5 linked regions of the Canis lupus familiaris genome follow. The protein of the gene in region 5 interacts with the protein of the main gene of each other region in a biochemical or structural test. Links are inferred from orthologs where the notes say so. Each region holds a gene or a part of one and is shown on either strand. Other genes may lie near its edges.

Evidence for each region.
Region 1: the proteins of DOK1 (region 5) and SRC form a complex in vitro, tested with the Homo sapiens proteins (2 studies listed by BioGRID, with this or other methods). The link is inferred for Canis lupus familiaris from reciprocal best matches to the Homo sapiens genes DOK1 and SRC.
Region 2: of the proteins of DOK1 (region 5) and TEC, one has a biochemical effect on the other in vitro, tested with the Homo sapiens proteins (2 studies listed by BioGRID, with this or other methods). The link is inferred for Canis lupus familiaris from reciprocal best matches to the Homo sapiens genes DOK1 and TEC.
Region 3: the proteins of DOK1 (region 5) and RASA1 form a complex in vitro, tested with the Homo sapiens proteins (2 studies listed by BioGRID, with this or other methods). The link is inferred for Canis lupus familiaris from reciprocal best matches to the Homo sapiens genes DOK1 and RASA1.
Region 4: the proteins of DOK1 (region 5) and ABL1 form a complex in vitro, tested with the Homo sapiens proteins (5 studies listed by BioGRID, with this or other methods). The link is inferred for Canis lupus familiaris from reciprocal best matches to the Homo sapiens genes DOK1 and ABL1.

The regions. Positions count from the first base shown.
Region 1 is NC_049245.1:26,564,971-26,570,665, forward strand, and holds part of SRC (proto-oncogene tyrosine-protein kinase Src), read left to right. Parts: intron 1-2,197; 5' UTR 2,198-2,358; intron 2,359-3,241; 5' UTR 3,242-3,249; coding exon 3,250-3,499; intron 3,500-5,146; coding exon 5,147-5,246; intron 5,247-5,695. UniProt on the Homo sapiens protein: Non-receptor protein tyrosine kinase which is activated following engagement of many different classes of cellular receptors including immune response receptors, integrins and other adhesion receptors, receptor protein tyrosine kinases, G protein-coupled receptors as well as cytokine receptors.
Region 2 is NC_049234.1:44,670,180-44,675,812, reverse strand, and holds the end of TEC (tyrosine-protein kinase Tec), read left to right. Parts: intron 1-2,489; coding exon 2,490-2,608; intron 2,609-2,689; coding exon 2,690-2,847; intron 2,848-4,022; coding exon 4,023-4,106; downstream 4,107-5,633.
Region 3 is NC_049224.1:21,205,333-21,211,027, reverse strand, and holds part of RASA1 (ras GTPase-activating protein 1), read left to right. Parts: intron 1-1,715; coding exon 1,716-1,783; intron 1,784-3,300; coding exon 3,301-3,389; intron 3,390-4,843; coding exon 4,844-4,921; intron 4,922-5,695. UniProt on the Homo sapiens protein: Inhibitory regulator of the Ras-cyclic AMP pathway. Stimulates the GTPase of normal but not oncogenic Ras p21; this stimulation may be further increased in the presence of NCK1.
Region 4 is NC_049230.1:53,209,933-53,215,627, forward strand, and holds the end of ABL1 (tyrosine-protein kinase ABL1), read right to left. Parts: intron 3,861-5,695; coding exon 2,143-3,860; 3' UTR 166-2,142; downstream 1-165. UniProt on the Homo sapiens protein: Non-receptor tyrosine-protein kinase that plays a role in many key processes linked to cell growth and survival such as cytoskeleton remodeling in response to extracellular stimuli, cell motility and adhesion, receptor endocytosis, autophagy, DNA damage response and apoptosis.
Region 5 is NC_049238.1:49,088,773-49,095,137, reverse strand, and holds DOK1 (docking protein 1), read left to right. Parts: upstream 1-2,600; 5' UTR 2,601-2,701; coding exon 2,702-2,761; intron 2,762-3,003; exon of another isoform or gene 3,004-3,098; coding exon 3,099-3,398; intron 3,399-3,545; coding exon 3,546-3,639; intron 3,640-3,845; coding exon 3,846-4,030; intron 4,031-4,302; coding exon 4,303-5,115; 3' UTR 5,116-5,559; downstream 5,560-6,365. Other genes in the region: LOXL3 (lysyl oxidase homolog 3), read right to left, coding at 88-400. UniProt on the Homo sapiens protein: DOK proteins are enzymatically inert adaptor or scaffolding proteins. They provide a docking platform for the assembly of multimolecular signaling complexes. DOK1 appears to be a negative regulator of the insulin signaling pathway.

The sequences.
Region 1 (5,695 bases), on a different chromosome or scaffold from region 5:
ATGCAATTCATATCTGTGCTCATTTAGTCTCTTGTCTATTCTGCAGATATTTCCAGAGCAATAAGTAGTAGTAGGTGCCAGGCCTGTCCTGGCCACTGGGGTGGTGGAGATGGATATGATCCAGTCCTGCCTGCAGGGGGCTTGGTCAAAGGCACTAGATGATCAGTGCCGGTCTCCCCGACTGACAGAGGAGGAAACTGAGGCAGAGTCCCATGATGGGGTGGTAGGGCTGGGGTTCAAACACTCTAGTACTCTAGCTCTTCACCTCCACACCCCTGCCTTTCCACAAACACGTGTTACGTACGTAATTGGTTTTAACCGCAAAGACCAACAAAACAAACAGAACAGAAACTCCTCCAACCAACAAACATTGCAACAGGAGACCAGACCACCTTGGCTGGGTCTTGAAGGCTCTCTTGTGCTTTTGCTGAGTGCCCTGCTGGGGAGTCTGGGTCAGTGTAAGAGTTTGGGAGCAAGAGCTGTCTTTTTTTCCCTCACCCCCACCAAAAAGGGCACATGCATTTTCTAGGAGCTGGGACGGTGCTCAAGATCCAGGCCTGACTCTCCCTCTTTTCTCTATAGCACACCACCCAATGACTCTTTCTCCTGTCCTTGATTATTACCTCCAGTGACAGGGAGCTCCCTCTGCATCATTTAGTTCAATCTAAAGAAAATTCAGCATGCCTGGGTGGCTCAGTCAGTTAACCATCTACCTTTGGCTCAGGTCATGATTCTGAGGTCCTGGGATTGAGTCCCACGTTGGGCTTTTGCTCAGTGGGGAGTCTGCTTCTCCCTCTCCCTCTGCCTGACCCCCAACTTGTGCTGTCTCTCTCAAATAAATAAATAAATAATATCTTTCTTTTTTTTTTTTTAAAGATTTTATTTATTTATTCATGAGAGACACAGAGAGAGGCAGAGACATAGGCAGAAGGGGAAGATGCGGGACTTGATTCCAGGACCCTGGGATCACGACCTGAGCCAAAGACAGACACTCAACCACAGAGCCACCCAGGTGCTCCATAAATAAAATCTTAAAAAGGAAAATAAAGAAAGTTCAGGCCCTTAGAAAGTTCTCCATTTAAAAATTTTTTTTAAATCATCCTTAAAAAATATTTTTTATAGTTTTAGTTTCCTCCGAAAGTCCCACAAATGAGTGTCCTGCTAAAGCATGTGTCCCCTGACACGAGGCCCGGGCAATTCGTCCCTGTGTCCTTCCATGGACTAGCGTAGCTTCTGCTGCACAGTCAGTGCTGTGAATGCTGTACCAGGGAGCCATTGCGTAGCAGGTGCAGCCTGGAGCCGCGGGGAACTGGGTCAGTAGGACCCACGGGACACCAACAATATGAGTGCTGATATGACCCCGGTGGATTGGGTTGCCATGGAACTTGGTCTTCTTTGTCTCCAGGCTTGTTGGCCTGTCCCTCAGGAGGCCCTGGTGATCCCTTGGGCTGTTGAGCAGGTCTCCTCAGGGCCTCCCCAGCCCATTCTCTGAGCTGGATGGTCCCCAGGGAGCATGCAGGCCACGCCCACATTGTGCAGTCCGTCAGCCTGAGGGGTTCAGGGGTGCAGGAACTGGCTAAAGTTCCTGCAGGAGGAGAGCTTGCAGAGCTGGGCTTGGGGCTCAGGGCCGGTAGTCTTGCCTAAGGCCTCAACCAGTCAAGAACACTTTTCCCCATCCATGGGTTCCCAGAGGAAGTTCTGGACTGATTCCAGGGCCTGCAGCATTCCCTGGAGAATATCCCAAACCTACCTTGCCGGTATATCCAGAATCACACAGTATCAGTCATAGCGGATGTGGTGGGATGACCTGCCTCATTCCCAGCAAGAACATACTTGCCTCGTTCACTTACCATGGACCCTGATGACCCCATCATTTCCAGATGAAGAAATAGGGCACAGAGAGGTTAGGTCATTACCCTGAGGTGATATGGCCGATGAGGGTAAAGGTGGGATCTGAGTTCGGGGAGTTTGGCTCCAGAGCCCACTCTTAACCGCTGCGTCATACCCTGCCTTGCTCATGCTCATAAAATGCTTTGGGAAGGTTGATGGAAGGGAAGGTCTGGGAAGCTCTTAGCATTGGAACTGTCAGAGTCAGAGCCTGGTAAACTGGGACCCAAGACTCAGGGCCATGGTGATTTCTCTTTCTAATCATATCCATACAACAGCCTGAGAGGTCTGCCTTCTCCCTGTTTTGCAGATGAAGACGTTGAGGCCCAAAGAGGGGAAGTCAGTTGCTTAGGGTCACATAGCAGGGAGACGTGGAGCAGGGCCTCTAGTTCAAGACCCCTGACCTGGTGTTCGTGCTGAGACCTCAGGCTGCTTCCCAGACCTTCTGGGACAGCCCCTGCCTTCCCCCAGGTGAGGTGATGGCCCATCAGGGCTGCCAAGATGGGGGGCATAGGGAGGGGTGGCCGTGATGGGTGGGAAGACCCTGGCCACATTTGTTGGAAGCTGGGACCAACCAGGATCTGTGGAGTGGGAGGTAGGAGGCAAAAGGGGGTGGCGGGGCTATGGGCATCACTGGAGAGTTTTCAGTTTGTTTTTTTTTTTTTTTCTGGGCCACGTGTTATCAAGAGAGGTACAAAAGTAAGGGGGTACTTAAACCAGAAAGGATTTGGGGAACACCTCCCCATGAGGTGACTTTTGAGTTGAGAACTGAAGGAGGCATGAGTTATTCTGGTGAAGTGGTCAGGGAAGAGCATTCAGGCAGAGGGAACAGCATGTGCAAAGGCCCTGTGGCTGGGTGAGCTCCCAGACATCTCTCCTTCCAGCTTCCTCTGTATCCCTGTCTTGGCTGCAACTATTAGCACCTTTCACTCTGGTGTGAGACCATCTCAGTCAGTCATGTAATTGCTCAGCAAGCCCTCAGTGAGCCCTCTCCTATGTGTTGTATGCCTGGGATATGGCCATGACTCAGATACTGTCCCTGCCCATGACCGACAGAAACTGACTCAGGGGGAAGTGAGGGAGGTTAGGGCTTCTGATTATGAGTCATTGCTTCTGTGCCTGGCTTTGTCCCAAGGAAGCCATTTATGGGTCCCATTATTATCCCCATTTTACAGGTTAAAAAACTGAGGCTCTGAAAGTCTAACTTATCCAAAAGAGGCTGGTGCCCTTCTTTGGGCCTCGGTGTCCTCGTCTGTAGAATGGTGGGTGGGGGTGGAGGCTGTCTAAAGGGCCCGGGCCCAGCAGCCCTGCCTGCTCCCAGAGTCCTTCACCCAGTGTGCTTTCTCATCTCCAGCCAGGACCATGGGCAGCAACAAGAGCAAGCCCAAGGATGCCAGCCAACGGCGCCGCAGCCTAGAGCCAGCTGAGAACACCCACGGTGGCGGCGGGGGTGCCTTCCCCACCTCACAGACACCCAGCAAGCCAGCCTCCGCTGATGGCCACCGAGGCCCCAGTACAGCCTTCCCTTCCGCAGCTGCTGAGCCCAAGCTGTTTGGGGGCTTCAACTCCTCGGACACGGTCACCTCCCCGCAGCGGGCGGGGCCGCTGGCTGGTCAGTGGGCTTTGGGAGCGTGGGTGCCTGCGGGCCGGGCCTCTCTCGCAGCAGGGCTGTGGGTGTCTTGGGCTTGGGGACTGTTGGGGGTTTCCTGGAGACTGTGGGTGGGGAAGAGCTTTATAAACTGGACAGTGTGGTGCAAATCCCACTGCCTTTGAGAGCAAATCCAAAGTGGACAGTAACAGGGTCTAGAGATATGGGCCTGCAGAGGGGAACCGAGGTGCAGGGGGCCCCGGGGGCTGTTGGCTCAGGGCAGCATGAGGACTGGGTTTGAGGCGTTGCTTTTTGCTCTGGGCAGCCCAGCGATGGGTCAGGTCGGGAGGCCTTGGGTGGCAGAGGGGGCAAGGGAGGGCAGGAGGCAGCTCTCTGGTTCTCAGGGGCCTGGCCCAGCGCCGCGATGCGCCCCTGCGCCCTCTGCTGGCGCTTCGCGGTATGGCAGTCCCAGGCCGGGGATGCTCACGGAAAGATGCCAACGTGGTCTCAGAGACACACAGCTGGAAGACACTCACACAAACACGTGCATTCTTCCCTCGACACACTCAGGGCCACACACACAGCAGCTCCTAAGATACCTATGCAGACCCTTGAACGAGATGAGCTGGAGACACCATCAAAGATGAGATACTCATAGATACACTGTGGACATAGAGACCCACTTAGGGACACATGGACGGGCACAGACATGCAACCAGGCAGATGTACGCAAACACAGACACACACGCACAGATAACCTCGTACTCCCAGATGAAGACACACACACAGGCAGTCAGAAGCCCCTCAAAGACACACACAGGGTACGGACAGGTTCAGCTAGGAGCACCATCACGGATACCCACAGGTTCACAGATGTACATACACACAGTGAGAACACACAGACGCACGGACACACAGGGACACTCACGGATGCCTTAGATACAGACACATACCCGAGTGAGACACAGACCCACAAACACACCCATTCATTTGTGATGCCCGTACTGTGAGCCAGGACTCTTCTGGTGCTGGGGACACAGCAGTATGCAGAGCATGGGGGAGAAAAACAGAGCAAGGCTCGTAAAATGTGTAGGCTGCTCGAAGGCGGTGCTGCCGTTGAAGGAGCAAAAAGGGCAGGGGGGGTCTTGGGGGGTATGGGGTGAAGGTTGTGGTTAAAATGGGGGACAGAGGGATCTCTTTGAGGGCACAGTACCTGGAACTGAGCTCTCCCCCAATACACCCAGTCACACAGACACAGAAACAGAACAGCCCAACCGGGTGCAGTTTCCTTCATTCACTGGCTCATTCACCCCCAGTCGCTTCTCGAGCACCTACTGTGTGCTAAGAAGCCTGTTGCTGGGGGCTTCTGGGTCTGTGTGGAGGATGGGCACTAAACAGAAGCCAGAAGTCAGGATCACCCAGAGCCCAGTGGGCACGCTCAGATGTGAAGAGACGCACACGCCTCCTACACACCCTCACAGGGGTACCCAGACACATGCACACAGGTGGACACACTCACTGCTGGGCCAGCCCCTGTAAAGGTGGCCACGGCTCTGGGCTGGGCTGTGCGGCTGTGGGAGACCAGCCTCTATTCTGCCCAGGGCCCTCCTGTCCACCCCTCTTTTGAGCGATGACCCTGGCCATTCTGACACTTCCCACCTCTCTCTGCAGGTGGAGTGACCACCTTTGTGGCCCTCTATGACTATGAGTCTCGGACAGAGACCGATCTGTCCTTCAAGAAAGGGGAGCGGCTCCAGATTGTCAACAACACGTGAGTGACCGACCCCCTGTCCCTCATCCCTTGGGACCCTATCCCCCTGACCTGGTCTTGGGCCAGAGCCACTTCTGAGCATCCCAGAGCTGGGGGCAGCATGATGGGCAGCAGGCATGGCTAGTGTCAAGGCTCGCCAAGGTCCAGGGAACTGTCCTGAGCCTATGAGAGATGAGATAGGTGGTGGTGGTCAGGGATCCTGGAGGGCTCCCAGGGCAGGGATCTGGGTTCAGTAACTACTCAGTAGGGCACATCATCCCAGACCCCACAGAGGGGCATATGGTCAGGGCAGGACTGGGTCTAGGACCCAGGACTACAGAAAACAGGGCCTAAAGCAGGATGCTGTGCCCCTAGACGTGCCCTCCTTAGGGACCTGGGGTTGGAGGGCCTGGGGCAGCTGGTGGAACCAGTCTCTAGCAGCAGGGGACAGAGACCCCATACTGGGCACT
Region 2 (5,633 bases), on a different chromosome or scaffold from region 5:
TTTTTAAACCACATCTTTTGTTCTGTTAGCAAAATATTTGTAGGATCCGTCATTTTCATGGGAAAACTAATTGACTTTTCTGCTTCTTCGTGTGTTTTTGATGTAGGGCAATAAAATAAATTAGATTATCTGTATTTTGAAAAATTTCTTTGCTGAATGTATCCGTTTTGACTGTTACCATGGGCTGCTTCTCAGGTAAACAAATTGTTGAGAAATAATAACTGTTTATGCTTTATTATGTGGCGTCCGGTAATAGTCACATTAGCTTGTAGAATTAATAAACCCGGGGGGTAATCTGCACTGATGAAGTAGCAAGGAAATCTTAGCTGCTGTGAGATACATAAATTTGTTTAAAAAAAAAAGGCGTATATACATTGCGATGTTAGTAATTTTCTCCACTAGGTGGTAGCAGAGCCTGGTAAATATACTACTTTCATTTCTCCCTGACCTGAGTTGGGTTCCTAGTCTTTTTTCACAGAAATGTGTTAAGAGGTAAACGTCCTTAGAATCCCCAAGTCTGTTGTGTTTTCATTCTCTTAATTTTTGTCATTTTTTAAAAGAGTGTTAGAAGAGACCTTTAGAAAGTATTGTTTGTCCTTTCCCTCCTCTCTATTCACTCATCCCTACATCCCTCTGTAAGAACATCAGGTGCCTACCATGTACCCAGGTGTTAGGCTGACCCATAGCAGAGAATAAGGCATATGAGCCCCTGCCCCTATGCAGCTCATATTCAGGAGGAGAAAGAGAGACAGAAGATCTGAGAGATGGCCAAGAGAGGAAAAACACAGTGATGTGCCGGTGCGGGGTCAGTGTACCAAGGCCTCTGGCCCAGGTTGTGACCCAACACCTTTTTTTTTGTTGTTGTCAGCTTGTGAGCGAACAGTGGTTTGCCAATTTTTAAATGGTCAGCAACAATGAAAAGAATTTTTGGATACATTGAAAATCATATGACATTCAGGTGTCAGTGTCCATAAATAAGATGTTATTGGGACCCAGCCCCGCTCGTTGGGTATTGTCTGTGGCTGCTTTCACACGACAAAGGCAGAGTTGGATAGCGGTGACAGAGACTGTATGGCCCGAGAAATAGGGAATATTCATCATCTGGCCCTTTACAGAAAAAATGCTCTCACCCCTAAGGTAGGGGGCACATGGGGCTGGGGGGGTGCAGTGCTGAGCAATGGTGCAGGGTGGGGTAGTGGCAGCTGCTTCAGATCTGGAGCTCTGGGAGGCCCTTCGAGACTGGGATGCTTGAAGAGAGACCGAAAAGACAGAAGTAGCCAGTTAGGTGGAGATCTGAGGATAAACTCTTCCAGGTGGAGGAAACAGCGAGTATAAAAGCTTAAAATCTGGGGCCCGCGTGGCCTACTCAAGGAGCTGAGAGAGGGCCAGGGCTGCTGGTCCAGGGCCAGGCACGTCGGCCCCAGGACACACAGGCCACGTTTAGCTCCTGACAGTCCTCTAGTTTCACGTTTGATTTTTTTTTTTTTTTTTATGTGTTTGGCTTTCAGAAAATGTGTGCTTTTGCACCAGACCCTCTAAAACACTCGTTAGACATTAAATTCAGAACCGCCCCCCACCCCGACAGACAGGCAAGTTAAGCCAACTCGTGGCAGCTTGGTTACCATGCAGCAAAGGAAGTTTGTGCCATTATTTGAATGTTTTCTCACGGAGGTTTTAGAAATTAGCTTTACACATTCCAATCCTACGTAAACGCATTCCTCTTGTGAATACATACTGAGCACATCACAGGAAGGGCTGAGTTCTCCGTATCTCCCACCTGCTCACGGGTCTTGCCCAGAGGTAGCTGAAGTTTGCAGGTGGCGTGTGTCCTTCCAGAAAGATGTAAGTGTGCTTGCATAGCAAAGATCACAGAGTATTGTTTTGAAAGTGTATGTGAGAGTGTGAGTGTGTGAGTGTGCGTGCGTGTGTGGGAGGGATGTCATGGTATATAAATATATACGCCACCATTGACATATGTCATTTTGCAATTTGCTTTTTTCATTTGCAGTAGGTGTAAATTGTACTCTGTGGAATCGTGGGGGCCCAAAGCACGTGTGTCTCCAAACGCCCTGCACCACTTCCTTTAGAGCAGCTCCGCTTTAGATGTTTTACATGTGGGGCCTTTGGGTTAAATTCTGTTTAAAGAACAAAATTGCTTAACCCCTCCCCCCCAAAAAAAACAAAAAACTTTGCTAACTCTTTAAATGTGTTCTGCCCCTATCGCCTTATAAAAAAGAAAAACGCACAGAAAAATGAAAGTGTAGATTCTGATGTTACAGGGCACCCATCTCAAGACATAAGTGAGGTTGAGAGGAAGATGGAAATCACCAGGCGTGGCCACTGAGGCAAACATTTAGCTTCAACCGGATGCTTCTTGGACTTCAGTCAACTGTGTTTTTGATTCTAAGAGGAACAAAAAAATGTAAAGAACGTGTACAACATGTAATTCGTAACTCAGAGGCGTAAGCCTATGGTTTGTCTTACTTTAGGTATGTCCTGGATGATCAATACACAAGTTCTTCTGGTGCAAAATTTCCAGTGAAGTGGTGTCCACCCGAGGTGTTTAATTACAGCCGCTTTAGTAGCAAATCGGACGTCTGGTCATTTGGTAAGAACACGGTTCATTTTTCCTCAGCTCTCCTCGGATGAGACAGTGGATGCATCCTTTGTAATCCTTATCCTTTCCTAGGTGTTTTAATGTGGGAAATATTCACTGAAGGCAAGATGCCCTTTGAGAAAAACACCAACTATGAAGTGGTAACCATGGTTACCCGGGGCCACCGACTCTACAGGCCGAAGCTGGCGTCCAAATATGTATACGAGGTGATGCTGAGATGTTGGCAGGAGGTAGAAAAATTTTTGTGCTTTCTTTCTGAATCTCTAAAACATTTAGGGATCTGGGCTTGGTGGATTAAGAGTGTATAGTCTTTGCAGCCTGGTGAGTTAGTACGTGGTGTATATGGTTTCAAACTCTAGGTCGAAAGCCAATCCTCTCAAGTCAGTTCTGAATAACGAGAAGAAGGTGGTGAAGAAGTGGAAAACGATAATAATTAAGATCATAAATTCAGTCAACTGTGGACATTCAGTCAACAATTCCCCACGCCCAAGTGGAAATCCTGTCACAGTTGCCCGAGTTAGGGACTCAGGGAATAAGTCCGGAGAAGTAGCTCTTCTTTCACCGGACTGCTTGGATTTTTGAAGTATAAAACTCTTCAACCAGAGAGGGTTTCTTTCACCAAACGTCGACTTCCCCCAGGTCTCTTTCCTCACAGCCTTTGGAAGTTTTCCTTCCTGGTGTTTTGAAACGTCACCTCATAGATGAGACACCAAAATGATTTTGGAAAGATTATATAATATCAGCTCACATGTATTGTGTGCTAGGCACTGTACTACGTGCTTTAGATTTCATTCTCAGAAGAACCTTTTGAGGTGCAGAGATTTTTACTGTGACCACTTTGTGGATGAGAAGACCAGGGCTTCTGAAGCTGACCCTTGCCCAAGGCCACTTTGCTATAGAGAAGCAGAGCCCATGCTCTTGAACTCTTGCTATAATGTCTCCAAAGAACACTGATTGGGATGGAGAGACCTGAGCAGGAAGTGTTGCTGGGGGTGGGAGAGGACGGTGGGAGCAAAGGTCAGATGGTGGTAGTGAGTGCAGGGTGTGTACAGATTGGTCTGAGTGAGCAGAGAGCCCACATGAGGGTTCTCGTGGGAAATGAAATTGGGCAGCAAGAGGGTGCAGGAGGGACAAGTTATAGGGGGCGCTGCAGGTCAGCAGGTCTTGGTGTTGCAGGCAGTAAGGAGCTCTGTCAGACCTTGAACGGAGACCCACAAGCAGCGTATAGAAAGGTTCGTCTCGCCACTCGCCACAGTATGTGCGGGGTAGAGTAGACCCATTTGGAGACACCTGAGTGCTCTAGACCCGAAGCAATGTGTGCTATGTGACGTGAGTTTGAGCAGTGAGAAATTATTTGGGGGATGAATTCTGGAACCCACAGCTTCTCTTTGATTTTTAATTGTAGAAACCAGAGGGAAGGCCTTCCTTTGAAGATTTGCTGCGCACGATAGATGAACTAGTCGAGTGCGAAGAAACTTTTGGACGATGAGTGGTGTTGTGATCCGTGGCGTCCAGCTTCCGAAGCATGAGGAAGAGATGGCCCTTTGTGGCTAACTTTTAATTTATTTAGTACTTGGACATGTAGATGGTTTTACTTACAAAGTGGAAACACCTAAAGCATTTGCTTCTAGCCCAAATGGGAGCTCTGGGACTGAATCCTTCCAACTATGGAAATGCTGCCTAGGGAGGGTGATTAAGAACACTCGCTTTTATCCATCCCACAAGTACTTGAGTGCCCACCGTGTGCTAGGTACTATGCCCGGGCCCCACGCTTTGCCCATTTTAGGGGTGTATGGAGGGCCACGTTAGCTGGTACACCGGTACACTGGAAGGTCAGGCTATTTGGGAAGGAAAAGGGAATTAGAATCTTATTCCACCAGCCTTTCTCTTTCCTTCGACTTCTACAGAAATCTGGGCCTGAGGCATTGTCTAGAATGTGGGTTCTGGGTGAATCAGGAACCCACCTTGGATAAGAACTCATCCTTTGTTTTGAAAACATCTGTTTTCAAGACTGCCATGAGTATTACGTTAAAAAATATTTGTATGCTGTATATATTGTAAATATATATAATATATAAAGATATATATTTATAAGAAACATGAGTTGTCTTTTAATTAAAAATTCTAATTCTGTAACATAAGAGTTTACCTTTTTAGGATTAGGGGCTGTGCCTTGCAGCTGTCAATTTCTCTTCCCCCAGGGATCGAATATGCCTTACTGAAGAGAAAGAAGTCTGGACCCTTCTACACTAGTGCCTCCTCCCCACTTAGGCAGACACGTTTGGGGGTGTCCCCAACCAGCCCCATGTTTGGGCTGAGTGACCCTGCCCCTAGTATACATAACTAATTGGAGTTAGGTAAAAAATTGAATGAAGGGCAATCAGTGACTTACTTTTTTTTTTTTTAATTTAAATATTTTATTTATTTACTCATGAGAGACACAGAGAGAAGCAGAGACACAGGCAGAGGGAGAAGCAGGCTCCCTGTGGGGAGCCCGATGCGGGACTTGATCCCAGGACCCCGGGATCATGACCTGAGCCAAAGGTAGACACTCAACCGTTGACCCCCCAAGCATCCCAACCAGTAGTGACTTTCTACATCTTAAGAATCTGCCCCAGGACATAGATGCCATCAGTGGAGGTGCTGGGCTCTGGGGCAGCATGATGAGGTGATGTTCCCAACAAAGCCGCCTCCACTGCCAGCAAGACCCAGGAGCAAGCTCCCATTGTGGCAGAGAGGAAAATGGAGAGCATGGCTTATTGAGCTGTCTCCTGGACGGCTTTAGGGAGATCTGGATGGACTTAGGTTCCTGGATCCGTGAGATGGCCTATTAGAGACTCATGGTAGACCCTGTGGTCAAGTTTGAGTGGGTTTCTTACCCTTACGGTCACTGACGAAGACACCAGCTGAGCTGGAACCTTCATTTCTCCCCCTGAGCCCAGGAGAAAGAAACAGCCTCTGCCGTCAGTAGCCAAGGCCGTGCACGGCCCCACACATTTTTCTTGGTATTTGGGGG
Region 3 (5,695 bases), on a different chromosome or scaffold from region 5:
GCTAAGCTCCAAGCCAGAACCTCCAGTTCCAGTGAGCTTGCCACACAGTAATTAGGAGGAATTGCTTTGGGCAAGTCACAGGATGTTGTACCTCCTGTACGGCAGCGGGACACACTTTGATATCACTATTTTAACTTTTTCTGATGAGGAAGCAGATCTGTAGAAGTTAAAATTGTTTGCTTAACTTTATATAGAAAGGGGTCGTACTAAGGCAGAACTAAAGGCCAGCCTTCTAAGATCCAGTCAGATCTCTGACACCATTGTAGGCTTTTGATAGGTACACCCGGCCCACTGAAGACCACTGGAAATCAGTGTCAAAGCATCAGAGAATATAGGGGTCTACTAATAATAGATTCAGTAGAATACATCCTGCTGTCATGTTATATCCCATTAAAAAAAAACAAAAAAACAAAAACTAGACAACCACTGAAGACACCAATAGCATACATTTAGTTTTGAAAAAAAAAGTGTTAATCCTGCCCTCAACCAAAGTTTTGTAAAGAGGCTTCTACTTTCGTAGAGAATATTTCTCTTGGTTAGTAATGATATGACATAAGAACGAATGACAGATTCTCTATTTTTTCACTAGTGGCATAAGTTTCAGCACAGTTTTGTGTGTGATGTAAATTAAAGCCTCTGTAAACTGTTTCAAACAAATATAATTGTTAAGCAAACACAGCAGGAATTTCTGCTGTGTGAATCGTCTGACACGATAGGGTTTTTAAGGGGTATTGATGCCCAAGGTGATGATTTCTGTCCCTACTAACAAGCCTTTAAATATATATGTATGTATCTAGTATTCCTTTTAAATTTAAAATCACCTTTACAAATTCACAGAAAATAGATTTGTATACTGAAATTCTTTCATGATTAAATTATAGGTTATGGTTCAAATTCAAACAAGTATCAAAATGTTTTCAAGCAAATTTGTGCAAGATTCTTCATAAATTAGTTTAAAAAAATATTTAAAGAGCTGATAATTGTGTATTATAATTGCAATAAATGGTATCTGAGAAGTAACAATCATTTTCTAAGAGTCCAAAAAGTAGTAAGCTGTCATTAGGTTGGAAAGTAAATGTCATAAAGTTGACTTATCCTCTCTGTAATGGAGAAGGTGAAAAGTGAGGTCTTTTTAATAAAAGCTTTATATTTATAGCATTCTATTGTATACATTTCCATTTATCAAGAAGTCACTTTTCTCTACTAGAATGGATTCTTATTTTTAGGATTCACCAGCAAAATCAGTTATAATCAACTTGATTTATACAGATTTTATTTGGCTATTCTATTTAAATAAGGAAAGAAAGAAGTGAGAGAATGAGAGTTTTAGCACCATATAGGCCTGTCTCTATAAAAAGGATTAATTCATACTCCTATAGTATTTCAGAAAATCTTAGTGTTCCTAAAGCTACTGCTTCCTCAGAGTAAGTATACTGGAATAAATAAGGAGTTGTCAAGACAGTAAATGTTACAGATGTAACTTACATCTTCCCAAAATAAACTGAAAATTCCAAATTTGGGAAAAGTAAATAGTGTAAGAAGCAGAGATACACATACCTTAAGTAAGATACTTAAGCTATTTTCTTAAAACTTTGTTTGGGCTTTTTACATCAGTTCAAAGCTCATGGTTCTACAAGTATTAAAATTTTTGTTTATTATTTTTATGTAACATATATAGTAGTTTTCTAAAAAGAAAAAATTTCCCTCCCATTCAGTGGTTTTGTTTTTCTTCGACTTATCTGTCCTGCCATCCTGAATCCACGGATGTTTAATATCATCTCAGGTAATCAGCTTTTGATAAAATTTTGGAATTAAAAAAATTAGAATAAAATTTCATATTATTTGGTAAGGTTATTCATTTTTTCTTTTTCATCTGATTTTTTATTATTCTCCAGTTCTAAGACTTGATATAAAACATTCCAACGCATCCTTATCTCCTTCTTTCCTTTTGCTACTTTACCTTCTGCATTTTGCTGCTTTTCTTTCCATCTAGTATCTGAAACCTGAGGTGGCTTGATTAGACACGTATCACTTTTTCCCCATTCCCACCTGTGTCTCCAACTCTCATTATGATGATTTTTTTCCACTCTGCAACTTGGCTTTTTCAATTGGGAAGAGGATTCTGTGTTCTCTTAGCCCATGCCAGACCCTGTCACTACCATTGCAAGCTGTATTTTAAAGTCAAAAAGATAACTACAGTTGCAGTAGTACTCTGTGAATACTTGACAGTGGCCCTTGAGAGATACAGAAGTTTGTGACCAGTTAGATAATGTTAAACTCCAACAAACCAGATTTAGTTTGCTTACTGCCCATATGTCCATTATACAAGGACTTTCAGATGCCATAAGTTTCTTTCAAAGAAAGGTGAACAGTGTTATTTGTGACTACAAATGTAATAATGAGCCATTAAAAACAGAAGGAACCGGAACCATTTTTCTTTTAGTAATTAGAAGCTCAAAGTTGTGTTCAAAAATACTTTGGACTGCATCTTAAGTTTTACCTTATTATAGTCATCACATCTCTTGTCATTATCTTCTATTGCTATTAAAATGGTTAAAACCATGGTTCTATTAAGAATTACGGGTTTAGCATTCTGTTGGAGAGATTAGTTTATCTGAATGTTGGCCTCCAAACCACTAGGCAATACTCATTTACAGTTCAGCTTAAGATTAATCTAAAATCAGGCAGTCAGATAGACCTACCTATACATTTTTAGTTACATAATTCTGTTATGTTTCAGGGCTTATATGTTAATCACTACAGATGGATTTCATTTACACCATACTATGTATATTCTCTAGGGAAATGTTTCCGGACTAATCTTTACGGTTGATACTATTTTTTTTCTCTTCAATATATAGCAGAAGTCCCAGATTTTATCTTTGTTATTGAGCTCTAAAGTGATTTTGTAGTCATTTGGAGGTTGGTAATAGGGAATTGCTCAGATTGCAAATTGCTAACCTGAAGGGGTTGGAATTAGCTGTGAATTATCATGAAGCAGGTGTGTGGAGTGACAGTGTTTTTAGCAATAAAGATAAAGCTTTAAGGGAAATATCAACCAGCTGAGAATTGCTGAGTCTTGTAGCAGCAACTTTTCACAAACTAGAAGTATTAATAAATGTATTTAACTCCCCCCCCTTTAATTCAGGTTTTCTTGTGAATTACACAGGTCATGTCATTTCCAAGAATGTCAGTATTTTTAGCAGGAAAAAAATGTTTAAGTGTTAAACTTTATACTGCTTTCCCTGAAAATGCCTTTGGAGTCTGTGTCATTACCTGTGCCCAATTTTTCTTTTATAGATTCCCCATCTCCTATTGCTGCAAGAACACTGATATTAGTGGCTAAATCTGTGCAGAACTTAGCAAATCTTGTGGAATTTGGAGCTAAGGTAAAAACATTTTGATAAATCACAAATGAAACCTTGAGATGATAAAACCATAGAATATAAAGTTTTCAGTAGTGTCTCTTGCATAAAGACTATTACATTTTTGTTGGTATGTATGTCTTTTTAAAAATGTTACTATATTTTAGTAATGTATATTTTAAATGTATATTTTAATGAAATTTTAAAAACCACTGTTTTAGCAAGTATACAGAAAATTACATTTTCTATTTCCAATATATTCATATTTTCCTACTCTTAAATATAAAAGTAAGCATATTTTTAAATGTACCTATTATTTATTTTCACCATAAACATTTACTGTAAATAACTCAGATGAGGTCTTAAAACATTTATATGTGATCCTACATAAGGATAAGGATTGTTAATAATCTAGTAGTGGTTGTACCATGTGGCCTGATTTTGTCAGTATTTAACAAACTTCTTGCCATACCCGGAAACATAACAATCATTACATCATCATATAGCTGTTAAGTAGTCTTTTACTTAACATTTAGATGGCTTCCAACTTGTCACTGTTACAAGTATCCATATAGATTTCCTTTCAAAGTTTTCCAGTTATTTCCTTAAACTTAGTTTGGAGGAAAATTCCTAAGTAAGATTTTTTGCTTTCCAGAGCCTTGCCAAAATTCAGTATTGTTTATTTTTTGCCAACCTGATGGAATAATGTTACTTTGATTTTTCACGTCTGTTTCATTGGAATTGACTGATGAGGTCTTTATCATCTTCTGTGTATTGACTTTAAAAGAGCTTCTGTTAATACTAAACATTTTCTGTTTTACATCATAGCACATTTTTAAATAAGCTTAATATGTTGTTAGTATGAAGAGCAGTTTATTGTATGGCTTAGCTTCTGAATTTATCTGAATAGTGAGAAAGGTTCTATTACCTATTCCTGTTGCAGTCTTTAGCACACTGTATTTTAATTATATTCTCTGCTAGATTCTAAGCTCTGGGTTGGGCCCATGTTGATCTTGGCAGTTGGCAAATAATAGTTTCTCAATAATTATTTTTGAATGAATTACAGTTGACCTCTGACACACAGGTTCAAACTGCACGGGTCCACTTATTCATGGTTTTAATGTATTTTATTTTAGTATTTTCTTTTCTCTACCTTACTGTATTGTAATAATACACAATAGAATATATGTAACATACAAAATATGTGTCAATTAACTTTAGGTTATCAGTCACGTTTTGGGGGGTCAAGTTATTTATGGATTTTTGATCACTTGGGGTGGTGCTCTGGGTTTTATTTTTATCCAGAATTTCTTACTCTTTCACTAAAATACTCTAGTTCCTTGGTATAGCTTTTATTAGAAGGAAAAGTTAATTCTTGTGAACATGTACTGCTGTTGATGTACATAATCAGATACATAAGAATTCTTGCTACACATTTGGTTTTGATGCATACAGTAAGCTTTTTGTTCTATTTTTAGGAGCCCTATATGGAGGGTGTCAATCCATTTATCAAAAGTAACAAACATCGTATGATCATGTTTTTAGATGAACTTGGGGTATGTATATAATTTTTAAAGTACTTTGAGACCTATAGTTAACATAGTGAGAGTTAACTCATTTAAGCTTCTGACTCTTGATCTCAGGCTAGGAGTTCAGGCCCCACATTGGGCTCCACTTAAAAAAAAAAAAAAGCAAAAAGCTGCCTATTTTTGTCTACTTTCATAAGCAAATTATTGATTATAACCACTTATTTTTACACCAAATGGTTTATATCAAGTACTTACTATGGTAGCTTTTGTGCTTCTTGTGTTATTTTTTAGTATGTCTTGTTTTTCCATTATCCCTTTAGCTGGTTCATCTCTTTACTGCAGTACTTAGCTGTACTTGAAACAAGATAGATGACCCAGATCTGACCAGGTTAAATAAGTAAATGGACTGTAGAGTGAATGTTCTTGGGGCTTCACTAGGAATAAAACACATGGATTTAATACTATACTTCATTCAGTGGGACTACCAAAAAATCACTATTTATAAATTAATAGAAATGGTTATATATTAAAAAATTCCCTAAGACCCTGTATTTCTTAGTAAAGCTTAATTTTATTGTTATAGACCTACAGATACTGGGTCAGTTAAAAACTAAAGTATATTAGTAATTCAGTTCATTAAAAAACAAATAGGTTTATCAAAAAGATTCCCAGGTTAGCCAGGTGTTACGGCATTAGGGAATGCTAGGGTAGGAGACTGAGGTGCCCATGTTCGGCCTTAATGTATTCAGATCCAGTTAAAAATACAACCACACCAGTATGCTGTGCAGCTAACCAGTACTG
Region 4 (5,695 bases), on a different chromosome or scaffold from region 5:
GATGTTGGTTTTATGCTATAATTTTGCCACTGTTCCATCCTGTAAAACCCACCATGGGGCTACTGGTCCCCCTTCGGGGAAACAAGGACCCTCACCTCCCCAAATGAATGCCACGGCTCTGAACAACAGGGTAAAATTATAGACCAAAGCAATCTGCCCGAGTTCTTAATGTTGTAAACATTTATTTAAAAAATACTACGGAGAGATGTGGATTCAAAAAACAGAGTCATATACAGAAAAAAAAATGTACTGGACCAAAAAAAAAAAAAAAAAAAAAAAAAAAAGGCCCCATAGTTGAGAAGGGAGAATAGTGGAAAACTATTTACATGTCATTTATAAAAGAGCAAGTCTACAAAAGAGTGTAATACCAAGATATAAATGCAAAATATAGTGGCACATCATGTGAACAGAGAGAAACCAGTACCTCATAGAAGGGCAGTTGGTGGGAACCTGGGTGGGGTCTGTTTTACTTTGTCTGCAAGGCCGCTGGTGATGTTTGAGCACCTCCCTCAGTCTGCCTAACAGAAGCAGCCTGGGGGGGCGGGGGGGCGGGGGGGGAAGAGGTGATGCACTGTGAGGACAGCGTAAATTGATCCAGAGGAAACCATCTCTACCAGAGAAACAAAATACAAGTTTAGGCAAGGAGCATTAAAAACGGGGCCTGTGTGCGGTCATGGCATGAGAAGGTGTGGGGGTGGAAGGTGGTTGTCTTGGTTTCTCCAAGGGCTGCTCCCAGGCTTGGCATGAGGCCCAGGAAGGTGCCTGTCTGCTCTTCAGTAGCTGCTCTAGGTCAAGGTCAAGATGGTCCGGGGCCGCCTGGGGAGAGACCAATGCCTGCTCTTTGAGACACTTTCTGGAGCTTCACTTGATTATGGTCTTCTTCATCCCTGATAACCCCAACAGAAACAGGGGACTCCATGCTGCTCACGGTCATTTAATAGGACGTCTGCCCCTTAGTGCACGGCCAACAGTGGCTGAGGCTTTGGATCCACAGTCCTCATCCTCCCGTGCTCTGGTGGCAGATGGCAGGTCCTACTGTACCGAGGGTGGCTGGGCTGAGGGCGGAGCCATGAAATGCTTCAAGAACTCCAGAAAACTAAGGACTGGCTTGTCACACAGGAAAGAGTTTTGCATCAATCTACTCTGTCTCAGAGGAGTGCAAGGGAGGAGGAGGAGGTCGGTCAGAAATCAAGACCAAGTGGCTTTTCTGAGTACCTGGAAATCTGAAAGGAAGGTGACCTGGGCCCGTGGCAGACCTGCCCTAGGCCCAGCCCTAGGCCACCAGCTGTTCACCCAGGGAGCACCCCCCCTCCAACTCCCCTGTTCTTTGACTGCAACCCCTCCTACCCTTAAGACTCAAGCTTTCTATCCAGGATGAGCAGTGCATGTCACAAGACAGCAAGGAGCTGAAAGAACAGATAACAAGGACAACCTCCCACCCCAAAGGCCTCTTCAGCTCCCCCACCTGTCCTAGGACCCAAAGGCTGGTTGGTTTTAGCACCCTGTTTTAACCCCCAAATCAAGAGCTGTCCTTCATATGAGGAAGTGTGAGGGCACCAGCCCCCGGCAGCAATGGAAGGCAGAGTGACAGCATTTCCCAGGATATAGTTCTGGAAACATGTCTTCAGTGCAGGAGGCACCAGAAGAGGAGTGCAGGCTGCCTCCATGCGGTAAGTGGAAGGGATAGTTCCTAGGCCTTGATGACAAGGCTCCTGTGCAGGGCACTCGCTCTTGGGGGGAAGTGGAGGAGATGGCATGGCCAGAAGAAGGCCTCTGGAAACAAGAGAGAAAAGGAAATGCTCATCCGCTTTCCCACCTGGCCTGAAGAGCTCAGTTCTGGAGCACGGCATGGGGAAGAGGCTGGCGGGCCAACTGGAGTCCACAGAGCAGGAACCCCACAGATAGAACTCAGGACAGAGGTGGTTCAGGGAGCCTGGGCTGGGGACAGGAAAAGTGCAGAAAAACAGCTGGCGCAAAATGTTAGGTAGTAGGGCTGTGCTCCACAGTGACCCTCTCAGCTCCTTTCACATGGAGCTCCCCGGCCAACGTCCCAACTCTCTGGTCTGTGTCAGCCACTGTGGCAGGCATGGGGCAGCCTCACACACTGTAGGCGGCTCCAGCTGGCCTGATGCCTGGCTTCTGCTACCTCTGCACGATGTCACTGATCTCCTTCACGGAGCTGAGGAGTTTGCTGAAGTCCTGAGTGGCCGCCGGGCCACTCCCTGCTGTCGCCGGGCAGATCTGAAGTTCCCGGAGATTATTCTCCAGTTTGTTGATGGCCTCACGGAAGGCGAATTTGTTCCTCATTTGCTGGATAGAATCCACGTAGCTCACACAGAATGTGTAGAGATTCTTGCCGGCTTCAAGTACAGCGCTGTGGCTGGCCATCTGCTCGGAGTTCTTAGAGATGGCGAGGCACAGAGCCTCCGTGCCATCCAGGACCACACCCTTGGTGATGGTGCCACTGGCGATCCGCTCAGGAGGCTGGCGGGTTTTCCGAAGAGACACACGGGTTGATATGAGAGGGATGAAGGCAGTGGAGGCTGGCTGGTCCACAGCCAGGGCAGAGGATGCGGATGACAGCGTGGAAGGGGCGGAAGCCGGGCTGGCTGGGGTCCCCGCCGGCTTGCCGGACGACTGCGGCTTTGGCATGGATGGGAGCACGGGCTTTTTGACGCCTTCTCCCAGCAGACCGGGCTTGACGGTGTCACTGTTCACAGCATCCACAACCACTGCTGCGGCTTTGGCTTTCCCACCAGTGCTGGCCTCCCCAGCTGCTTCCTGGCTCAGGCTCTGAGAAGGCTTCCCGGCTTTCCCAATGGAAGCTGGTAGTGGGGGCGGTGGGACAGGTTTGAGCTTGGACAGTTTCCCCTTGTCTCTCCCTGGGGACTCGGAGGAGGGCTTGTGCCTCCTGGCTCTGGGCTCCTCTGCGGGGGCCTTGCTGGCCCCTCCGGACATCCCTGGCCCTCCTCTGCTGGCAGGGGTCCCCAGCTCAGCTGTGGTAGGGGTCCCCAAGGCACTGGACTTCCCGGCCTCGTCTTTGTGGGGAAGGCTGGAGGAAGGAGCCCCCGACACCTGCTTGCGGAGGAGTTTTGGAGTCAGACTGGGAGGGCTGGAGCCTGGACTGGACTCCCCCATGTCTCGAAAGACCTCATCTGCTGCGTCCTCAGTCTTTTTCACCAGCCGGGGTGGGGGGGTCACTGTGCCTCTGGTCACCTGGTCAGACCTATTCTCACTCGCCCGTTTCCGAGGCAGAGCTGGCTTCTCGCTCTTGTGCCCTCCAAATGTGGACGAGTCGAACTGCCTCCCTGTGGACTGCAGATCCCGAGGCAGCGTGACAGACCTCCACTCTGTGTCCTTGGCCCCGTGGGGCACACATGAGGCCGAGCAGGACCTCAGGAAGCGCTTGCTGGAGCTGCCGCCACTCTCCTCCTCATTGGCGGTCAGGCGGCTACTGGTCAGTGTACTGGACTTTTTCCACAGGTGGGGAGACCGGAAGCCTGGTCCCCCCGACTCCCGGAAGGCTCCATTCGGGACACCCGCCCCGCTGCTGGGCTTTGGGGACTTGGCTGGCTCGGCTGCGTCCAGGGTGGTGAGGGCTGGCACCCCATTGCTGGTTTCTCGGCCCTCCTCCTCAACGGCTGCCTTGCGCTCGGGCTGGCCGTCCATCTCCCGGAAGGAGCTGCTGCGTTTTGGGGGTGTTGGGGCCGTTTTCTTCTTCTTTTTGATCAAGGCACTGAACAAGTTGGTCTTTTTGTCTTTGGGGAGAAGGCGCTCATCTTCATTTAGGCTGCTGTCTTGGGGACCCCGTTCTTTTCGAGGGAGCAGTGGAGACACAGGAGGCTCGTGATCCAGGGGATCTGAAACACAATGGGAAGACTTTTAACATCTCCAGACCAAAGGCTCCTTTGTGGGGGGAACCTGGGGCTGGCCCCTGTCCTCTACAGAGGAGCAGCCCAGGGTCAGGGCTCTGGCAGGCCTACCTGTAAGCACCAGCTCTGCCACTCCCAACTGTGGCCTGTGAGTGTCCTCAGCTCTCTCATCTATGAACCGGAGACCACCACCTACCCATAGCATTGTGTGAACGTCATGCAGTGAGCATACAGCGTTTGTCCCAGCTATCAGTACATAATTTCTCACGGACTGTTAATACTTCTAGGAAAGGGGGATCCCTGGGTGGCGCAGCGGTTTGGCGCCTGCCTTTGGCCCAGGGCGCGATCCTGGAGACCTGGGATCGAATCCCACGTCGGGCTCCTGGTGCATGGAGCCTGCTTCTCCCTCTGCCTGTGTCTCTGCCTCTCTCTCTCTCTCTGTGTGACTATCATAAATAAATAAAAAATTAAAAAAAAAAATACTTCTAGGAAAGGTACAGGACAGCAGCACAGAAAGCCTGGGCAACCCAGCCCCTCATCCCTGTACTGAGGCTTCCTTGACAGCACAGAGCCCTCCAATACCACTATCTGGAGTGTAAAAACCACCACAGGGCTGAGCAAAGGGTCAGGCCCTGTGCCTTTCGGGCCTGCCAATTGAGATTCCTAGGAGGTAAGGTCCAAAGGGAAGGGGTTGTGCACCACAGTGACAATAGGCTATTATGCTTGGCAAACAAGAAAGAGTGACCTTTACAAATTTTTAAATGGGCATTCTTTATGTATGAATAATAGCTCCTAAGAAATCTTTCTGGTGTTGCCAAGCTCCCGGCTTAGTGAATGATAGACTTCTCCCTCAGAGGGCAGCTGTGAGGAGAGTAGTTTTCTATCAGCACCCAGAGCAGCCTAGGGCATGTCTACACCCGGAGCAGAGGTACAATGGGGCATCTATCAGAACATCAGACAGCATGCAGGCCACCTGACTCAGGGGAAGCTGAGGACCTCCAAAACTTTAATCCAGGAGAAAAAGTTGAAGAACGCGAAATTCTAATGAATTATGCACGGCTCTATTTCAGCGCTGAACAGCTAATTGACACTCTGGGCTCACCATGAGATTACGTATCAAAATGAATACTGACGGGCATAAATGAACATGATTGCTTATCACTGGGCTTTTAATCAGCCTGAGGTTCCCACAGGGGCCTCTCCCCATCCCCACTGCTCAACTACCTGAAATCATGACAACGAACAGAAGGACAAAGGTCTGAGCTTCTGGAGACTATATGCCATGGACTCCACAAAGTGAGTGAGCAAGACGATCCAGGGGGCTATAAAAGGAAGCCCTATAATTTGGATTTACTTCTTAATGTAAATCTTCTAGGTATACATTTTTGGTATGTTTTATAATACACATGTCTGTGCAATAGTACGTATGTATACATAGTCTGCACATGTGACTTTTTTCTATTATGGGTGCACACACAAAAAAAAAATTGGTAATCCTGCGATGGCTAAACATCTCATTATTCTGGCTTCCCACCCACTCATCTGTGGTCTATCAGAGCATCCCCGAGGAGCCTCCATGAACCCAGATTTCCGGGGTCCTGGGGAGAGAATAACAATACCTCAGAGCAGCCTAACAAAGAGACCATGGCACACAGGAGGAGCTAGGTCAGTGTTTTCGGGGATTACCCCTCCTAGCACCTTGGAATCCCATGCACCACTCCCACCTCCCCAACTCATCTAGGGAACAGTGGCCAAGAGATTCTTCTTTCAGAGACCACATGTGGACACCAGCTCTGTGCCACGGGCGTTTCCTGGCTCCGTTG
Region 5 (6,365 bases):
GGTGCCCTGGGTCCCTGCGCCTGTACCATCCTGGTGTACCTCCCTGCATTAAGGCCATACCTAAGCGATGCATGGAACGTTGCTCACCTGTTCCAGGGCCATACTTGGCACTGTGGGTCCAGCCTGTGGCCTCTGTGAAGCCCAGCTCCCGGCAGAGGACGTGGGCAGCCTGAAGCGTGAAGTCATCATCACAGATGGTGCCCCACTCGCCAGCTCGCTGGATCTCCACGCGGCCCTCAAAGGGCTTCCTGGGGAAGCCGGCCAGCCGGAACCGCAGCCCCTGGCTCCCAGCCATCTTCTCGGGGGCAGTGGTTGGGGATGGAGATCCCAGGCAGGAGCTGCACAGCAGGCACAGTAGCAGCCCCCATGGGCTCCACTGCCGGATACTGACAGGTCGCATGGCAGGGAAGGCCTGGGTGCCCCAGAGAGAGAGTGTGTAAGAGAAACTGAGATCAAGCCAGGCGTGGGTCCCACAGAGAGATCAAGAGGGGAAGAGGGACGCCAAAGGACAGAGACAGAGACAGTGTGAGAGAAAGACAGGGACCCAGGAACTAAGTGAGAAAGAAATACAAACTACATAAGAGCAGAAACACAGAGTCCGAGAGCTCAGACTGGAAAGCAGGGCAGGGAGGAGAGAGGCACAGACACAGAGACAGAGCAGCTCTCCCTCACCAGCAGTTGTTCGGTCTTACAAGGCCCTTCCCCATCACCTCCATTTACCCCACCCACTAGTCTAAGGGACCCAGAAATCAAGACAGTGATTAGAGACCAAGAGGCAGAGAATGGTTGAGAGAAAGAGATAAAGACTGGGCAAGAGGGAGACCCAGACAGGATGTGAGAGGAAAGGAAACTACTGTGGGAACGAAAGAGGACTGAACAGAGAGAGATGGCAGAGAGCGACAGTGTGGAAGATGGACAGAAGGTGACCGTGAGATGGCCAGCGGCACACAGCAATGGTCAGACTCGGGCAACAGGTGAGGAGAGGGACTGGCTGGAGCCAAGGAGGGGTTGTGGGAGGGACCCAGACGACCCCATTCAGCCAGTCAGACAGAGGGCAGATAGCTACTGGTTGTGGAGAGAAGCAGGCGAGGGGGCTTAGGAGACCCTCAGATCTTCGGTTCCCTGATGGGAAGTCAAGCTCAGAGTCCTGTGTGGGTAGATTCCACCGCAGAGGGCAGAGACCAGGATGCGTGGAGAACCCCCTGCACACCCTATCAGCACATAGGCTCTCACATACCCTGCAGGGTCAAGGGGCCCAGGAGGGCCAGGCCTCAGGCTGGGAGGGAGAGCGGGGTGGGGTTGTCCAGACCTCCTGCCAACAGTGCTGTCTCAGGGCAACCGGAGGCCAGGGTGCCAATGAGCTCCTCAGCCAAGGCCTTCCCTCTGTCTGGGGCTGAGAACAGCCCCTCTCCAGCAAGGGGCCCCTGGAACATGCTTTCCCCAACTCAAACAAACAACACAACAGGACAGCTTTGTTCTGGGGACATTCTGGCTTGGGGGCCCAGGGGTAGGTCCTCACAGAGGAGCCTCTAGCCTTAGGGCCCTGGCAGCAGCCCTATTTGGAACACCCTGCAGCCCCCCACCCGCCAAATATCTGCCTCCTCTCTCCACTCTACTGTGTCTCACGCTAACAATGCTAAAAGCCCTCTGTTGGTTGGTTTCCCTTCGACCCCATCCTGCATCACCCCTTTTCCGTGGTCCCTTCACCATCCTCGCCATCCGAAACTCCCCTTTCTGCCGCAGCAGCGTGACTCGCCCTACCTTTGGCTGAGCGGGGCCCTAGGTGCTGGGAGAAGAGTCCAGGTCCTGGAGATCAGTCCTAGGACTTCCCAAAAAAAGTGCTCGGCCAGGGGAGACTGGACCCCCCCTTCCTCCCCCCTCTCCTTTTGTCCCTCCCACGTCTCCTTGAGCCCTCCCACATTCCGCCTTCCTCCTCGATTCCTCCCCGGCCAGTTCCCTCCTCTTCTCCTTTTGGTCCTCCCCTCCCCCGTGGAGCTGGCCGCGGCCGCCCCACCTCCCCCCGCCCCCGCCCCCGCCCCTCCTCCCGGCCTGCTCAATGAAGCTTTCTTTTCCCGCGGGCTGGAGGCCGCGCGGCTGCGGTCACGGAGCTGGACACGCAAGAGGCCACGGGGCCGCGGACCGGCCCGGGCGGCGGCCCCTGGGGCGGCGGGAGGCCGCGGCTCAGCTCGGGGCTCCGGGAAGCCTTCCAGTCCCCAGTCCCCAGCCCTTCCCCCACGTCCCGGGCTCCGCGGAGTGTAAACAGCCGGACTCCAGCCGGGCTGGGGGCGGATCCGGTCAGGCGAACTGAGGCGAAGAAGGCCCGCCTCAGCCCTTCGGTGCCCCAGGGTGCCCACTGGCATTTTCGGGGTGACGTCACGGCCTTCACTCTGATGTCACGTTGAGCATATGACATCCTACCCGGCCCGTAAGCCCGGGCGCCAGAGCCCCGTGGCCGAAGCCTCGAGGCTTCCCTTGGCGGAGCACTTGTGCGGGCCTCGGGCCGGTGGGCCGGGGTCTGAAGGTGGCGCGCGGCCCACCCCGTCTACGGACCCCCGCGCCTTCCCTCAGGCTGCTCTGCTCGCTCCCGCTCGGCGGCCCGCGGAGGCCGGGGGAGGGGCGGAACGCCCCGGGAGGCCCGGCCCCGCCCCGCCCCGCCTCTAGCCCGCGGGGCCAGGAAGCGCGGAAGGAACCGCCGGGGGCCATGGACGGGGCCGTGATGGAAGGGCCGCTGTTTTTGCAAAGTCAGCGTTTCGGTACCAAGGTAGCCCGGGGCAGGGGTCGCCGCGCGCCTGCAGACCTAGGAGGGGGCTGTGGAGCCCGCGGGGGCGGCAGCGGGTTGGAGCGCGGGGCGGGAGCTGTAGACCCCGTGACGTTCCCGCGGAGTTGATTTCCCACCCGGGAGAAGCGTCCGCTGGCCTCGGGGTACCCCCCCACCCCCCGGTTCTGGGCGGACGGAGCGGCTTCCTTCTCGGGAAACTGCGCCCCGGTGGGGAAGCTGCAGACCTGCAGTCGGCCTGCGCGGGTCTCCTGTCCCGTCGGGGCCGGGCCGCCGGTGCTCGCCCGCTCCCTCGCCAGCGTCTCTCGCTCTCTCTTCCCAGAGGTGGAGGAAGACCTGGGCTGTGCTCTATCCTGCCAGTCCCCACGGCGTGGCGCGCCTCGAGTTTTTTGACCACAAGGGGTCGAACAATGGAGGGGGCCGAGGGGGCTCGCGCCGCCTGGACTGCAAGGTGATCCGCCTGGCGGAGTGTGTGAGCGTGGTCCCTGTGGCCGTGGACAGCCCCCCCGAGCCTGGCGCCGCGGCTTTCCGCCTGGACACCGCGCAGCGCTCCCACCTGCTGGCGGCCGACGCGCCGTCCAGCGCCGCCTGGGTGCAGACCCTGTGCCGAAACGCCTTTCCGGTGAGGGGGCTGGGGCGAAACGCCGTGGACCCAAGAGGCGACGGGGGTGGGGGCGGTTACAGGAGCCGAGGGCCGCGGCTGGCTCGGACCCCGGGAACAGCGGTGAGGGAATTGCAGGGATCTCGATACTCCCTCTCTTTACCCCAGAAAGGCAGCTGGGCTCTGGCGCCTGCGGAAAACCCACCCAAGCTTTCTGCCCTGGAGATGCTGGAGAACTCGCTGTATAGTCCCACCTGGGAAGGTAGATGCCTGAGAAGCCTGCGGAGGGATGGGGTGGAAAGGACGGGTGCCTTGAGAAGAGAGTGGTTAAAGGGTCAGGGACCCATGGGGAATAGGAAGCCCCTGAAGCTGGTTTCCAAGTGAGTGCTTGGACAACCCGTCCCCACCTCCCCAGCCCTCTCACCCAGCAGTCTGTTGGGTGCCCATCTAATTGTGTATTCTTTACAGGATCCCAGTTCTGGGTAACAGTGCAGAGGACAGAAGCCGCTGAGCGCTGTGGCCTGCATGGCTCCTATGTGCTGAGAGTGGAGGCTGAGAAGCTGACTCTCCTGACCGTCGGGGCGCAGACTCAGATACTGGAGCCACTCCTTTTCTGGCCTTACACTCTGTTGCGCCGCTATGGCCGGGACAAGGTGCAGGGGGCTGTCGGGGAGAATGGGCATCCCAGGTCGGGATAACTGTGGGATGGGTGGGTGGGGTGGGGCAGGACAAGAAGATGGCGAGTTCTGTCCTCCCGGTAACCCTTCCTTGCCTAGCCTGTGACCTCTGCCTGTGCGCCCCCCCCCCCCCCCCCCCCCCCCGCAAATAGTTTTTTCTTTGTAGATCCTCTGTAACTAGGACAAGCCCTGTGACTCATCTCCTCTCCTGGCTCCTGGTAATGTGTTTTCCTCCACACCTTCTTCAGGTCATGTTCTCTTTTGAGGCTGGTCGCCGCTGCCCTTCAGGCCCTGGAACCTTTACCTTCCAGACAGCACAGGGGAATGACATCTTTCAGGCAGTTGAGACTGCTATTCATCGGCAGAAGGTCCAGGGAAAGGAAGGTCAAGGGCAGGAGAGTCTGAAAGCCGACTCCCACGAAGGAGAAGTGGCAGAGGGGACGCTGGCATCCCCGCCTGGCCCTCAGGAGCTCCTGGGCAGCCCTCCTGCCCTGTATGCTGAACCCTTAGACTCTCTGCGCATTCCTCCAGGCCCTTCCCAGGATTCCCTGTACTCAGACCCCTTGGACAGTACTGCTGCTCAGGCAGGGGAGGGAGTACAGTTGAAGAAACCTCTTTATTGGGACTTGTACCAGCACGTGCAGCAGCAGTTGCTGAAGGCCAAGCTGACGGACCCCAAAGAGGACCCCATCTATGATGAACCTGAGGGCTTGGCCCCAGCTGCTCTCCGGGGCCTTTATGATCTGCCTCAGGAGCCCAAGGATGCATGGTGGTGCCAGGCTCGGGTGAAGGAGGAGGGTTATGAGCTCCCCTACAACCCTGCCACTGATGACTACGAGGTGCCACCTCCTCGGAGCACAAAGCCTCTCCCAGGTCCTAAGCCCCGGGGCTTAGCCCTCTCTGAACCTGGAGCTGCAATGGGCAATGGCAGCAAGGGCCACAGCGCAGACACTGCCTTGTACAGCCAGGTCCAGAAGAGCAGTGCCTCAGGAAGCTGGGACTGTGAGCTGTCTAGAGCAGGGGCTAACAGGACTGGAGTCCAGGCAGAAGGCTCCACGTGAGAGGTAGGGTGAGGCGGGGGTTGCTGATAGGACCCCCACAGGGAGGTGGTACTGGGGATCAAAGAAACGTATTAGAGCCTGCAGGAACCAGAGGGCTGGAGGGTCCCCTGTAAGCCAGCCCAGGGGACCAGAGGGATCAGGGGAGTCAGGGGAAGGATGATCAATCTCAAGAAGTCCTGGAAGTGGGACAGATGGCAGAGGTGAAGGATGGGGCCTGAGAGAGACCAGCACCCCCAAGTCATCCTCCCCAAAGGAATGGACAGCTGCTGGACCAGGTCTATGACAATGGGGGCTTTGTCTGGGTTGGTACAGTTTGAGGGGGCTGAATGGAGGCTACAGGGTGATGCTGGACTGTGCCTGGATCGTCACCCCTGTTTTGTTCTTTGCCAGAGACAGATTTTAAGAAGTTTATTCTCATTAAAGTCAGCTTGGGTTTAAAAGGTCTATGTGTGTGAATAGTCACAGATGGGACATGGTGGCAGGGTGTGCTGGGTTGGTGTGGAGGGGTCAGGAGAATGTACTGGGGGCCACATAAAGAGGAAGGAGTCTCAGGGAGGTGAGCTGAGCAGTGTGATTGTTGAGAGCCTCGGTGGTCCAGTGAGGCCCACTTGGGCTTGAGACTGTCTCTGTGATGCTGGGCGAGCTCTAAAACATCTGCAACTCTCATTTGCCCTCGGTGCCCCTCTGTAAAATAGGAAAAACCCAACAACAGACTCTACTTCACAGGGCTATTTGTATGAAAGGAGTTAAGTTTCTCAAGTACTTAATGCAGTCTGAAGCACAAGATTAAGCATTTTATACATGGTAGTTATTCCATGGATGGAGAGGGCCAACAGAAAGGTAGACAGGCATGGACAGAGGGGAACAGGAAGGCAATAGGTCTTTTTCTCAGCTATATGATACCACTTGCCCCAGCACACACACACTTTACCTGTAGGTACTAAGCATCAACCATCTTTCTGTTTGAGGGTTGAAGGGAACTGCTATGTGGTGGGTATACTGGGAGGAGCACAGGCTTTGGAGGCTTAGATTTTGGTCATACTTATTTTTCATGAGCTCTGAAAATCTGATCCTTGTCTCCTGAGGTCTGGTTTTCCCAAGGTGACCTAACCTCATCTACCTGCTTACAGGGAACTACAAGGAGAAATTTGGGGTTAGGAATGCTCCTAACAATGGTAGAGACTTACTGGGTATTTAATCTTCATCTGTGTTAGTGGTATCAAATGATCCAAAAGAAAATGAAAATGAGC